3 linked regions of the Macaca fascicularis genome follow. The protein of the gene in region 1 interacts with the protein of each later gene in a biochemical or structural test. Links are inferred from orthologs where the notes say so. Each region holds a gene or a part of one and is shown in the gene's direction. Other genes may lie near its edges. The genes, in order: RGS4, GNAQ and GNAO1.

What was found.
Region 2: the proteins of RGS4 (region 1) and GNAQ form a complex in vitro, tested with the Homo sapiens proteins (3 studies listed by BioGRID). The link is inferred for Macaca fascicularis from reciprocal best matches to the Homo sapiens genes RGS4 and GNAQ.
Region 3: the proteins of RGS4 (region 1) and GNAO1 form a complex in vitro, tested with the Homo sapiens proteins (2 studies listed by BioGRID). The link is inferred for Macaca fascicularis from reciprocal best matches to the Homo sapiens genes RGS4 and GNAO1.

Annotation. Positions count from the first base shown.
Region 1 is NC_088375.1:20,915,558-20,919,974, forward strand, and holds the start of RGS4 (regulator of G-protein signaling 4), read left to right. Parts: upstream 1-1,526; 5' UTR 1,527-1,590; coding exon 1,591-1,648; intron 1,649-1,906; coding exon 1,907-2,183; intron 2,184-4,417. UniProt on the Homo sapiens protein: Inhibits signal transduction by increasing the GTPase activity of G protein alpha subunits thereby driving them into their inactive GDP-bound form. Activity on G(z)-alpha is inhibited by phosphorylation of the G-protein.
Region 2 is NC_088389.1:108,438,610-108,442,255, reverse strand, and holds part of GNAQ (guanine nucleotide-binding protein G(q) subunit alpha), read left to right. Parts: intron 1-167; coding exon 168-297; intron 298-3,646.
Region 3 is NC_088394.1:52,257,334-52,261,501, forward strand, and holds the start of GNAO1 (guanine nucleotide-binding protein G(o) subunit alpha), read left to right. Parts: upstream 1-1,300; 5' UTR 1,301-2,047; coding exon 2,048-2,165; intron 2,166-2,353; exon of another isoform or gene 2,354-2,384; coding exon 2,385-2,427; exon of another isoform or gene 2,428-2,541; intron 2,542-4,168. UniProt on the Homo sapiens protein: Guanine nucleotide-binding proteins (G proteins) function as transducers downstream of G protein-coupled receptors (GPCRs) in numerous signaling cascades.

The DNA of each region.
Region 1 (4,417 bases):
AAGCTGTAACCTCAGCAAGCCACTTTCTCTTTCTGGGTCTCTATTTCCTTTTTGATGAAATAAGGGCGTTAGGCTACATTGCCTTTAAAGTCCCATTTTGTCTTTAAAGTCCCATCTATTGCAGTGATTTATATTTAACTCATGACAAATCAGGCTTCTCTTATTCTAAGTCCAAGAGATAAAGCTCTTATTGTGGAATTTCAGGCATCAGTAAACCTTTTCGGGTCCTCACTTATGTTCCTAAAATCAATCTGTTTGAGTGATCACTCTTTTAGGTGTCCATGTAAACAAAGAAGGCTGTGGTCTTTCTTTGAGTGACCTTCTTTCCCTTTTAATTAGTCTGTCCTCTTTAATGTCAGTTCCAACTGATTCCTCTCCCTGGTCCATCTTCCTTGGTCTAAGGGCCTCCCTAATTTCACATTGCACTGCAGTTCCTTCCACACCACCATCAAGAATGGCTGTCAACATTCACTTGTTCTATGTTATAATTCAAGGAAGAGTTGCCCAGTATCTACTCTAATAAATGTCTTTCTATCTTTATGGGCGGCTAGAGGCTTTTTCCTATAATTTAAATGCATCTTCTGTAGATTATGGTCCCTCCACCACCTTACATTTGTCTGCTGTCTCCTTGCTCTGCTAGTCATGGAAGGTGTTGGTAGTGGGAGCAGTGTGGGATGTTCAAGGGCACGTATTGGGTCGGGCCATGTATGGGCATTGCTTTGTGACATTCTTTCTATATTTTTGGTATTTTGCATTTCACTGGAACCTAACTATTTTTCATCTCTTCCACCTAAACCATTTGATGCCTCTGTTTCTTAAATATAAAGTACAGCTCACTGTAGCCTATGATCAGGAACCTATCTGCTCTCAAAATGAAAGCTGTTTTGGTCAGATCTAGCAATTAATTCTCTTCTTCCACTTATAGCTTTCCTCTGTAACTCTGGTGTAGGTATTTGATATATGGCTATAAGATGTGAAACACCTGAATGATTCTCTCCATGCAGGCGTTTCAGTTTATGATATTGTATGTAAAAGATACTAATTGTTCAGGTGTTCAGAAACACCTATAGGGCTTAATATTCTTAATGATTCGTTTTAAGGCTGGTGATACGCAAAGCAAACTACGTATTTTTCTGCCTGCTCTGTCTCTTTCTCTCTACATCCCTCTTTCTTTATCTTTTGAAATATCAGTTTGGAGACTTAGAATTACATAAGACATAAACCCATTGGATATAAGAATTGCTGTGTATATTTGCTCACCTACTCCCTCCTTTGGTCCTCAAGCTGCTGGTTTAGACTTTTTACAGGACACAGGCATGTAAAGGAGAAACTGTCAGTGCTAGGCTGAATTCTGTTGTTACCAAGATTTCTAGAAAAGTATTCCTCAGTCAGGTTGATTACGGATATAGCAAATCTATTTTTCCTAGGGTAGTTTCTCTATGCAGCCGGGCTTATAACTGTCTGTCATCCAGCTATTTCTCTCCACCTTCTTGTTTGCATAACAACCAAGGCAACTTCTGCAAATCACTGCGTGGAGACGATGATCCTGCCAGCTCCCTTTTGGAAATCGTGAGGATCAGATCTTGGACCATGTATCATATGATGCTTCTAATCCAAAAGAGGAAGGGCACTGGGAGTCAGCTCCTAAGTAAGCTTCAGAATTCCTGCTGGTACTTTTCCTTCCAGGAAGCAACTTTCCTTGATATTGTTTTTTACAGAAATATGAATGAATACTATATTTTGCAGCATTGTACACTTTTTTCCTTTTCTAGAAATTCTAAACCTCTGACACTGGTAGAGACATTGAGTACATTTTTTTCCATATCCCTACTTTGCTGAAGGATTTTCTCTGCTCGTTCACTTAGCATTGCTGATGCGTCAGTCTTTTCCTCCTCATCTCTTTCAGGGGCTGGAGAGGCAGAGGGAGACAGAGGAGCTGGTACTGCAGAGCTGTCGTCTGATTGGCTGGACCGTCGTAGCTGGGCTATAAAAGAGACCCCTACAGGCTTAGGAGGAAGACGCTCAGAGGATTCTGAAAATATCTTTACCGGAGAAGAGGCAAAGTACGCTCAAAGCCGAAGCCACAGCTCCTCCTGCCGCATTTCTTTCCTGCTTGCGAATCCCAAGCTGTTAAATAAGATGTGCAAAGGGCTTGCAGGTCTGCCGGCTTCTTGCTTAAGGAGGTAAGATTGCTTTCAGTCATTAACCGTATTAAACTTTTGGATAGACTTTCTCAGTTATTTACATGTTGTACTTACTAACCTAGTTCTGTGCAATTAGAAACAGTGTGGTCAGGAGAGCACGACTTTCTAACTTTCCTCCAAGACTAGCTAGATACTGTGACTTAAGACATGTGCTCCCCAAATTTCAGTCCTTATGTATTGTTTCATGTGACCTCAGTTTTGAGAACTGTTCTTTAAGCCAGGTCTAAGCAAGCTAGTTTTAATTAAGAAGTGAGATGAGGCTTGAGGCTATGTATAGTGGTCTGCAATATCTCCATCTGTGATTACTGCTGTTATTTAAGCATCCCTGGAGTACATAGAAGCCTGGGTCTGGGTTTTCTGATTGTATGCTACATCTTGTTTCAGGAAAGGTACCCCAGAATGAGGTTTGGCTCCATCATCAGAAAGGCACTATGCTTTCTGTGTAGTGCTGCAGTATCTTTCACTCTCTATGTTCTTATAAGCAAATGTTACAATGAGATATGAGTTCCAAAGCCAGATCTTCCTTATCTCTCTGCCCCATCTCTAGTTCTTAAAGTGTCTTATATGAGTGTGGTTGAGAAGTATTGATCATTACAAATCAGTTAACAGTTTTGTAGATCTCACCTTAAAGATATTGTTTTGTTAATATACTCTCTTGATTTTTTAAAAAGACTTTACAGACATACAGCTATTCATTTGTTTTTCGTTTGTTCAAAAAAGGTATAAACAAATGCATTCAGAGAATGATCGTATAGTAGTCAGTTGAAAATTAAACACAAAATGAGTGCATATTACATTACTTAATCTTGCAGTTAAAGGTAAAAAGTCAATCTAAAGGTGTACTACCTGCTTTCTTATCGCGCTGCAAATAGAAATTACCCCAAATTTTATTTTGGAAATAGTCTCAGAAAACATAATTTTTAATGTACTATTAAAACATTTACTTTTCAAATATTCTGTCATTCAGGAGTATGGAAGTATCTATGGCTTCTTTAAAATGAAGCAGGAGGGTCTGGCAGAGAGTATCTATGAAATAAGTTCCTCTGACCTTCACGCTTAATTTTCTGAATGGAGTGGAGCAAATTACTTCAAGCTTCAGTTAACTTACATATGAAATGAACTATACAAAAATACAAGAGTGTCAGGAGAAAGTTATGCCCTGGTAAATATTTTGCAAAACAGATAAAAGTTAATACTAGAGCTCTGTCCTCAAAGAGTTAAGCAGCTAATCTAAGGAGGTAAACTCTATGTCAGCAGAATGAACTGCTCTTCCCTTTCCTCACCAGTAAATTGCAAATCGTCTAGTCCAACATCTTTGCCACCAGTGCCTGAGGCTCCACAGGAGCCATCGCCTGCTCAAGGTCACATAGGTTGGTGGGTGAATTAGGACCAAATCTAGATATCCTGACTCCAATAACTTCTGAAGTCATTTTGGTTTTTATTTTTATGTTTTTTTTTTTTTAAATAAGAATACTTGCTAAGCACACTTAGCCCCTGCATTGATCAACAACTCTCAGATCTCAGGTGGATCCAGCACATAGAAATATGAATTCATTTCTATTTGGACTTCATGATATACTTATATTATCACCTTGGAATCACCCTAACATTCAGGATTATATCCTGTTATCATCAAAAAGGATGTTGCATCCCCTGAGCAGTCATCAGTCAGGGAAGCAGAGGAAGGAAAGTAATCTTGCAAGGAAGAGAAAATACTATTTAAGGGGCAGTCAGAGAACATAATGGAATTCAAACTTTCTGGGAAAACCTACATACATAAATTTATTAGGGGCTATGTTAAATGTCTTTCTATCTTTGAGGCTTTATTTTCCCCACTCCAAATAGACACATTTAGTTATTCATTTCTCTTAAAATGGTATTTCTATTTTTAAATTATTTGTTGGCCTTTTTAATAAAAGAGATGCAAGCAAGAGGATATTTAATAAAAAGTAAGAGAGTTGAGCTTAAGGCTTATTAAAAGACCCCCTTTTTCTAGTTAGTCAGGAGCCCTATTGTGCCAGGCTACCTATTAAATGGTGGCAATAAATGGTGGCAATAAATGGTGGAAGCTCAGTGATGACTCTAGCCTGCTTCTCCTAATAGCTTTTAAGCCTCAAATGCCCTTTAGAGTGTGTATGTCCTTTAAAGTAGCATTAAAAAGGAAAGCAGCAGCAGCAGATACTGTCTGGAAAGAAGCCCCAAGGGGCTGAGGT
Region 2 (3,646 bases), on another chromosome or scaffold:
TATTAGGTAATAGGAAATTAGTAATTATTCAATAAGTATTAATTGAATTGACTTGGATGATCATTGTGATTCAAGAGAATATTTTCCCCAAGTTTGTAAGTAGTACTATATTTATGTTGACTTTTTAGTTTTACATGTTATTAATATGAGTATTGTTAACCTTGCAGAATGGTCGATGTAGGGGGCCAAAGGTCAGAGAGAAGAAAATGGATACACTGCTTTGAAAATGTCACCTCTATCATGTTTCTAGTAGCGCTTAGTGAATATGATCAAGTTCTCGTGGAGTCAGACAATGAGGTAAGTGTTCTTTAGACAGGCAATGGATTATCATTTTATTATCTGATACAAGTAAACGATAGGAAGTAGGGTATGGGGAATGGAGTGAACTGACTTCTTTGCTTTCTTGAAATTTGATTTTAAGACTTTTAAAATAACCAAAAATAATCCTGTTACCACATGGTACACTCAAAGTGGCAAGCTCTTCTGTCAGATGTATGAGCAGGTCTGTGTGTTCAAATCTAATTAGAGCCTATTTGATACTTTTTAACACTATGCAGAGGTTCTAAAAATGAAAATAACATGGAAATCCTAGGCTAATCATCAGATCATTTTATAGTCTTCCTCCTACAGGATAGAACTGGGAGTGTTGGAGTGAGTCATCCTGTTTTGTTTTGTTTTCATTTTGTTTAAATCATTGTTTGTGTGATGGGTGTGTCCCAAAGAGTACTCAAAATCTCTCTTGGCAAATGTGAATGACTTTGCAGCTGGGCTCTAAATCAGTTCATTATGAGCCATGGAATGTCTTGGTGAGGCGGCCTTTCTGCTCTTATAGAATTCTCTAGGCTGCTGCATAATTTTGTCTCTATTAAGCAGAGAGCAGTTGAAGAAGTGTCCTTAATATGCCTGTCTGGAGAACGAATTCAGTATTGCTATCTCCTCCCATTTACAGGGAAACTTAATAGGTGTAAATGTGGATTTTGAGGATGGTAAAGACCTGACTATGAATCAGTTGATTATGGAAGATAATTAAGGGATGTAGAAATCCGTGCTTCTGAGCTGTAGTTGTGTGCTTGTGTGTGTGTGTGTGTGTGTGTGTGTGTGTGTTGGGGGAACAGAGAAGACACCATTGATACCCTGTTAGAGGCAGAGTTTGCAGTGTGATAGGTTAATAATAAATATTAAATATCCTAATAATAGGGTAGAAAAAAAGAATGAAGTGAGAGATCCCCATTTGCTGACTAAAATAGGATCTAGCATATTATGCTTTTAATACAGTACGTTTTTTAGGTACACAAGAATTCCTGACTTGTTCTTTTAAATATTATTTCTGCCAGTATTAATATCTCCATTAAAATACATATCCAAGCTTCTATAGTATTTCTTTTATGTATAGGATTGATAAAGTTTCCATGAACCAATGTCTCATATAGAACCGAGAGTTACCTGTTGATGCATTTCAGAATCACTCCTGAGTTGCGAGTATATCGGCTTTGGAGTCAACCAAATAACTTCTGTTTAAGAATGAGGCTTCTTTATCAATCAGTTGCCCCCAATAACTATAAAGCAAAGTGCCTAAAAGCATGCTACAATATACGACAGTAAGTTACCACGGTATTAGGCAGTTACTGTCAGAATTTTAGCTATGATATCTCTATCTGTACATCTTTATGTCTGTGCTTGTTTGTTGTTACATAATTCCTGGATGTAGTATTTTAAACGTACTGCATATTTTGGGAGCAGATCTATTCTAACACTTCTGATTTTTTTTAATGTTGTATCAAGACAAAAAAATATTCTGAGGGCTTCCCTACTATATGCTGGGTACCAGAGTATCTAAAAAGACACAAAAATGGAGAAAAAAAATCAACTCTCCACTAAAAGACCTTATAAACTAGATGTGCTTTTGGTCAAAATAAGCCATATGGGGAAAGGTAAGCCTTTGCTATGTAGGTTGTCATATCTCTTCTTTAATTTGCCATCCAATAAAATAAAATTTGCATTTATCAATTACACAAGAGATATAAGAAGCAAATGTGAACTTATTTCTGATGTTTACATTATAGCTAGAGGAGGATAAGTGTTTATCAACACACATTTTACACAAGATAAATGTATTATATATATGAAGAAATAATATGTCATGATTTAATACTTAGCAATTTACCACTTTAAAATTATCAAAATGGAAAAGAAAGTAGATTCCTTTGGCAGCTCATAAACTAATTCAGTTCAACTGAATTGAATCTGGTTCTTCAGTTACCTGAACATTACAGATCATTTATTCCATTTTTCATCAGACATAGCTAATAGTGACTAGATTTTTATATAAAAGTATATTATGTTAATTAGAATAAAATGGCATAGTTTTTATTATCATGTGTCATAATTTAAGTTCCCACAGTAACTTGACATTCAATGTACAGGTACTAAGAACGTCTAAAAATATTGCCCCAGTTCCTTTGATTCCTATGGTGATGCCTTATGCTCCTTTTAAATAGTTACAAATTAAAATAATAAAGCTATCATTTTTTCATTTGGACTCCCTTATTACTTGTGAATCTTTTGAAAGTCTAGGTAATTCTATAAGATAAAAGTCAACTTATATGTTGTTCCTTTCTGAGCCCTCTAGTCAAGCCTGATGATAGTATGGGATCATGAGAAAAGTACTATTCATTAATTGCTTCATCCATGTTAGCCACAGCTGTCACCGTCTATAATTAGGAAGTACTGTCAAAAATATTTTTTAATGTTGGCATGTAGTCGCATTATCCCTTTTTTTCCCCCAGTTGTACTAATGTATGATAATATCATTGCCTCTCAGCTTCCTTAATCATTAAGAAAATTCAGAACTACAGAATTCTAGTTTCCCCAGATTTTTTGGTTTTGGTAAGACAAAACGAAATAAGCTCCAGAAACATTTTGTTCTTGGTTTAGAAGTCTAATGTTCATAACTTTAATCCAAAACAGACTTTGTTGTGCCTCCCTCCCTTGGTATATATTTGTGAGAAAAACCTAGGAATGGATTCTGACAGCTTTTCTTTCTATCCCAGGAAACTGGAAAATGCATTGCAGACCACAGACAAAAGCAGCTAAGGGAAGCATTTTAGATTATTGCTTTTGCTTTTTAATATTTCTAAAACCTTATATATTAATCTTCATAATTTTATGTAGGTCTTTTTTTCTGCCTAGATTCTCAGCCTTTCTATTGTTTGGGGAATTAATGTCTTTTTTCCTTCAAAGAAGGAAATATATTATCAAATAGTGGCTAGAATACCCAGGGTGGTAGAACTTTGTTCATCTGTGTATTCCCTTTGCTGTCTTATTTTTCCTGTGATAACACACCAGCATGGAGTCCACTATTCTGCTGTAATCCTTTCATGGGTACATGATTTCAGTGCTCCTGAAAGCCCAAAGCACACACTAAGACATGCTTGTAACATATTTTAGTTTATCAGTGTGTATACAAACACTGCCTTTTAGTCTTTATTTTTCTGATTTTCTGTTTCACGAATAGCTGAGCACTACTGCAAAGATGTTTTCTCAGACATTGTCTCAATGACCGTCTTCCAGGCGAAGCTCTTTGTAGAATCACAAAGACTGAGATCTTTTTCTCCTCCATGTCCTTTTTGAATGTGAGCTTTGAATT
Region 3 (4,168 bases), on another chromosome or scaffold:
CCCTTTCCCTAGGAGAGCCCCTGGGGCTGTCTGATGGAACTGATTGTAAAACTATTTTGTGCAGTAAAAAATTTGTTTCTTCAAAATCTGAGACCACCCAGAACATGCCCAATCTTTGGCAAATATCGACTGGTTTTCTCAGTATTTGACTAGCTGTACACCGAGTAACTGACCCGGGTTTCTGGGTTTTTTTAGAAGAAATGAGGGGAAAATGTTTCAGAAGATGAAAAAAGGAAGAAAATCTCTCATCCAAGAGTCTATTCAAAATTCATTTTGTGTGTTTCGAAGGGGGAGGACAAGAGAATTTAGTGCAAAGACGGCCTCCACCAAGCTAAACCGTCCAACATTTGCAAAAGCTTTTAAAATAAACTGCTCAGGGATCAGGGGTTTGCTGGAAACTCCCAGTCGCTTGAAGCCCTGTCCCTCCGCTCAGGGCACCCAGGCCTCCCCAAGGGTGGGCACCCCTCCTGCACGGAGAGCGGCGGCTGGGATCTCGGAGCAGGGTCGGCGATGGCCCTGGAGGCAGCGGCTCCCGGAGAAAAGGCCCTGGCTTTTCTCCGCCCGCTCCGTTCCTCTCCTTACAGCCTCGGCTCCCACATACTAAGTGCTCAATAAATGTGGACACAGGAAGCGAAAAGGCCGAATCTGTCCTCATGCCCCCAAGGCGAATTCTGGGGCGGGAGGGTTTATTCCGACCCACTACCACATCGCGTTTCCTGAGGTAACCCGGCCTCGGCTCTGCGGCCCCAGCGGCTGCAGAGCCACTGACAAGGCGGGCTGCGGGCGACAAGATGGAGAGCCGGCCGGAGAGGGACAGAGGCCGCGCTGGCAGCGAGCTGGGGGGCCCACCTGACCGCCGTGCCGGCAGCCCGGTCCCGCGCTCCCATTGACAAGGAGGTCCGCGCCGCCGGCGCTTGGGGCGGGGGCGGGGGCGGAGGCGGGGTGGGCCCCGGCGCGCGCCCGGCCCCACGCCCCGCCCCCGCCAGCCCCGCACGCGCCCACCCGGGGGAGCCGCTGGCTGGGAGGGCTCTGTGGGGAGGGGCAGGCCGCTCCGCGAGCGCGTGTGCGCGCCGCCGACGGCTGACGCGAACCCCGGCGCGCGCCTCCCCCGCCCCGCGCCTTTCCCGTCCCGGGGGCCCGGCGCGCGGCCCTGCTGACGTCAGCGGGCGGCCCGCGGAGCCGGGTGCGCAGAGCCGCTGGCGCACTCGCGCGCTGCACTCGCCTCCTCTCCCCGCCCGGTCCCTGGCGCGCGCGCGCTCGTTCGCTCTCCCATTTTTTTCCCCTCCCTCCCTGCCTCTCTCTCTCTCCCTCTCCCTCGAGCTCCCGGCTGGTCGCGGCTCCCTGGCGCTCTCCCTCTCTCTCCGGTAGGCTCACCGAGCGATGCGAGCTCTGGGAGACAGCGACGCCGCCTCCCGCTAGAGACCTGCCCCCCGGCCCGGCCCCCTGCCCAGCCCTGCCCTGCGCGCGGGGGTCGGCGAAGGCGCCGCGGACGCACCGACGGCTGAAGAGCGGCGATGCACATGCACTAGCAGCACCCCCTAACTCACTCCCTCCACATCCCGCGCCGCCGCCGCCGCCTCCTCCACCTCCTCCTCCTCCGCCGCCGCCTCCTCCTCCTCCGGCAGCCGCGGCAGCAGGACCCACCCTGCCCCCCACCCCACCCTCCGTCGGCTCCGGCTGCGGCTCCAGCCTCGACTATTATTTTATTTATTTTGGGTCGTGCACAAGCCTCAGTGCCTGCAGCCCGCGCCTCCTCGGCCCGCGGGCGCCTCCTCCCTCGGCTGCGGAGCCCCAGACCCCGGCCACACTCGGTTCGACAACCCCAGACCCCCGCCAGCTGCCGCGAGTCTCCGCTGCTGGAATCTTGTTAGCGGCTGGCTTTTTGGGGGGTTCTGGTTTCCCGACATTTTTGTTTCCAGCCCAGGAGAGGATATCGTGATTTTCCCCCCTTGAGCCCAGGCTCTGCTCTCTGGGGGGGTGGGGGGCGCTCCGAGCCGGGGAGCCGTGCCAGCCGAGTCGTGCGGGCTGTGGCAGGGAAGGGGCCACCATGGGATGTACTCTGAGCGCAGAGGAGAGAGCCGCCCTCGAGCGGAGCAAGGCGATTGAGAAAAACCTCAAAGAGGATGGCATCAGCGCCGCCAAAGACGTGAAATTACTCCTGCTGGGTAAGGACCGCCGCTGCTACCCCCATCCCCCGACCCCGGCCACTCCGCACCCCCTGCCGCCAGCTCCCCCACCTCACCCGCGCCCGGGAGACCTGGTCCCCAAGTTGGCACCACCATGTGCCCAGGATCGCCCACCCCCTCGCATGCCTTAGTCCCCCCTCCCCCTGTTCCCTTAAGCTGACACTCACCAGTTTTTCCCCACTGTCTGTGTCCCAACAGGGGCTGGAGAATCAGGAAAAAGCACCATTGTGAAGCAGATGAAGTAAGTCCCTGTGGCACTGGGATTTGTACTTTTAATAAGAGTAATTTTTAAAATCGTTTTTATTACCTTGCTTACTCCACATTGCTCTCCAGGCCTGTTTTTTAATTCGTGCACACACACACATACACACACACACCCCTATATTTGACTCCCCTCCCCCACTCCCTACGTTGGTTCTGGGTCCTCCACCCCAACTCCTGGGTGGGTGTTTTTTGGGAGGGGGAAGGGGAGCGCCTGTAGTTGTATGAATGACAGTGTCCGCCATATTGATCAGAACATCACATTATTGGCATGATTATGATCATTACTCTTGCTTGTGGAATATTTTTTGTGTCTCCCTGCCTCCATTTCTGTGTCTCTGTTTCATTCTGTCTCTATTTGTCTCTCCTCTTCCCTCCATACCTCCGTATCCCCCGAGGTCCGTAATCCCACTTCCCCTGCTCTTCTCCTGGGGCAGTGATTTTGAACTTGGCTAACATGGAGGGGACCCAGCCCTAGACTAGGGTGGAGGATCAAGCGTCTGCTGTTCATGCATTTGGTGCTGAATTGGAGGCTGTGGTTTCTACATACCCTCGCACCCCCCCGCCCCGGCCCCAGAAAAAGAGGGCCAGGGTTAGGGGAGGGGTCGTGTGCTAGGGGAAGAAGTGGGTTTCCAAGCGTACGTGACGGGCACAGTTTTATCCAAGGTAGAGGTGGAAGGGGGAGGGAAGCTGCCTGTGAGGCTGAATGTCCGCCCCTTACTGCTCCCAGCTCCTCTCCTCCCCACCCTCCCAGCATTGCTGTCCTGACACCCGCAGTTTTCGTTCGCTCCGTGGCCTTTATCAATGTATTTTTTTACACTCTGCATAGGCCGTGTTCCATGTAATCTACCCACAATGCGGATTTCAGGCCCCACTTGCCGCCGCCCCCTTCTGCCTTAGCTATCAGTTTCCCCTCCTAATTAACTGGGGGTGGATTTGAGTGATGGTTGAAAATTAAAACAAAATGGGATATTCCTTCCCTTGCACACTTTCTCAATAAGGAGCCTTGCCCCTCCTTTCCACTTGCAGGCTCGCTTCTTGCGCTATCCACTCGGCAGTTCCTGGTGAGCCCACAGGCAGCTTTGCTTGGGGAGGGGGTGGCCGGCAGCGAAGGGGTGTGCGCCCTCCGGGCCTCCAACTTCCGTTGGCCTGTCAGTTCGAGACGGAGAGTTCGTTAAGACCGTTTAGCGAAGATTCCACGTCGCTTTGCTGTGACACCTTCGTGCACACATAGCTCCTAATTAGGGGTTGCTGTGCAGTAAACAAAAATGATTATTTTCCAACTTGACAGAATAGCCGAAGTAATTGCATCGCGTAGGGAAACAATGGAAAATAAAAACCCCTTTCGTGGGAAGGTGGGAATGGGAGTGGGAGACGAAGCACGCTTGCGGTTTCAGAACCAAGATGCAGAAAATCTTGCATGTGTAACAGGCATGACAAGCGGGTTCTAGGCGGCGCCATGATGGTAGGGAGTAGCGACTCGGAGACAATTTTCCCATCTGCTTGACATGTTCTTATTTTTGTTCGAGAGCTCCCTGGGGCTTTCTTCGCAGAGGCCCCCTCGGCTCGCCGCACCCTTCTGAGCCAAGGGTAATTTAGCTTGGGGCTTCTCTTGAGCTTGTGCAACCCAAATTGATGGGGAGGCGGGGCCTCGGGAATTGCTCTTTGCAACAAGGTGCATGTTGCATCTGTCTGGAGCCCTTGCAGATCTGTAAATGCAA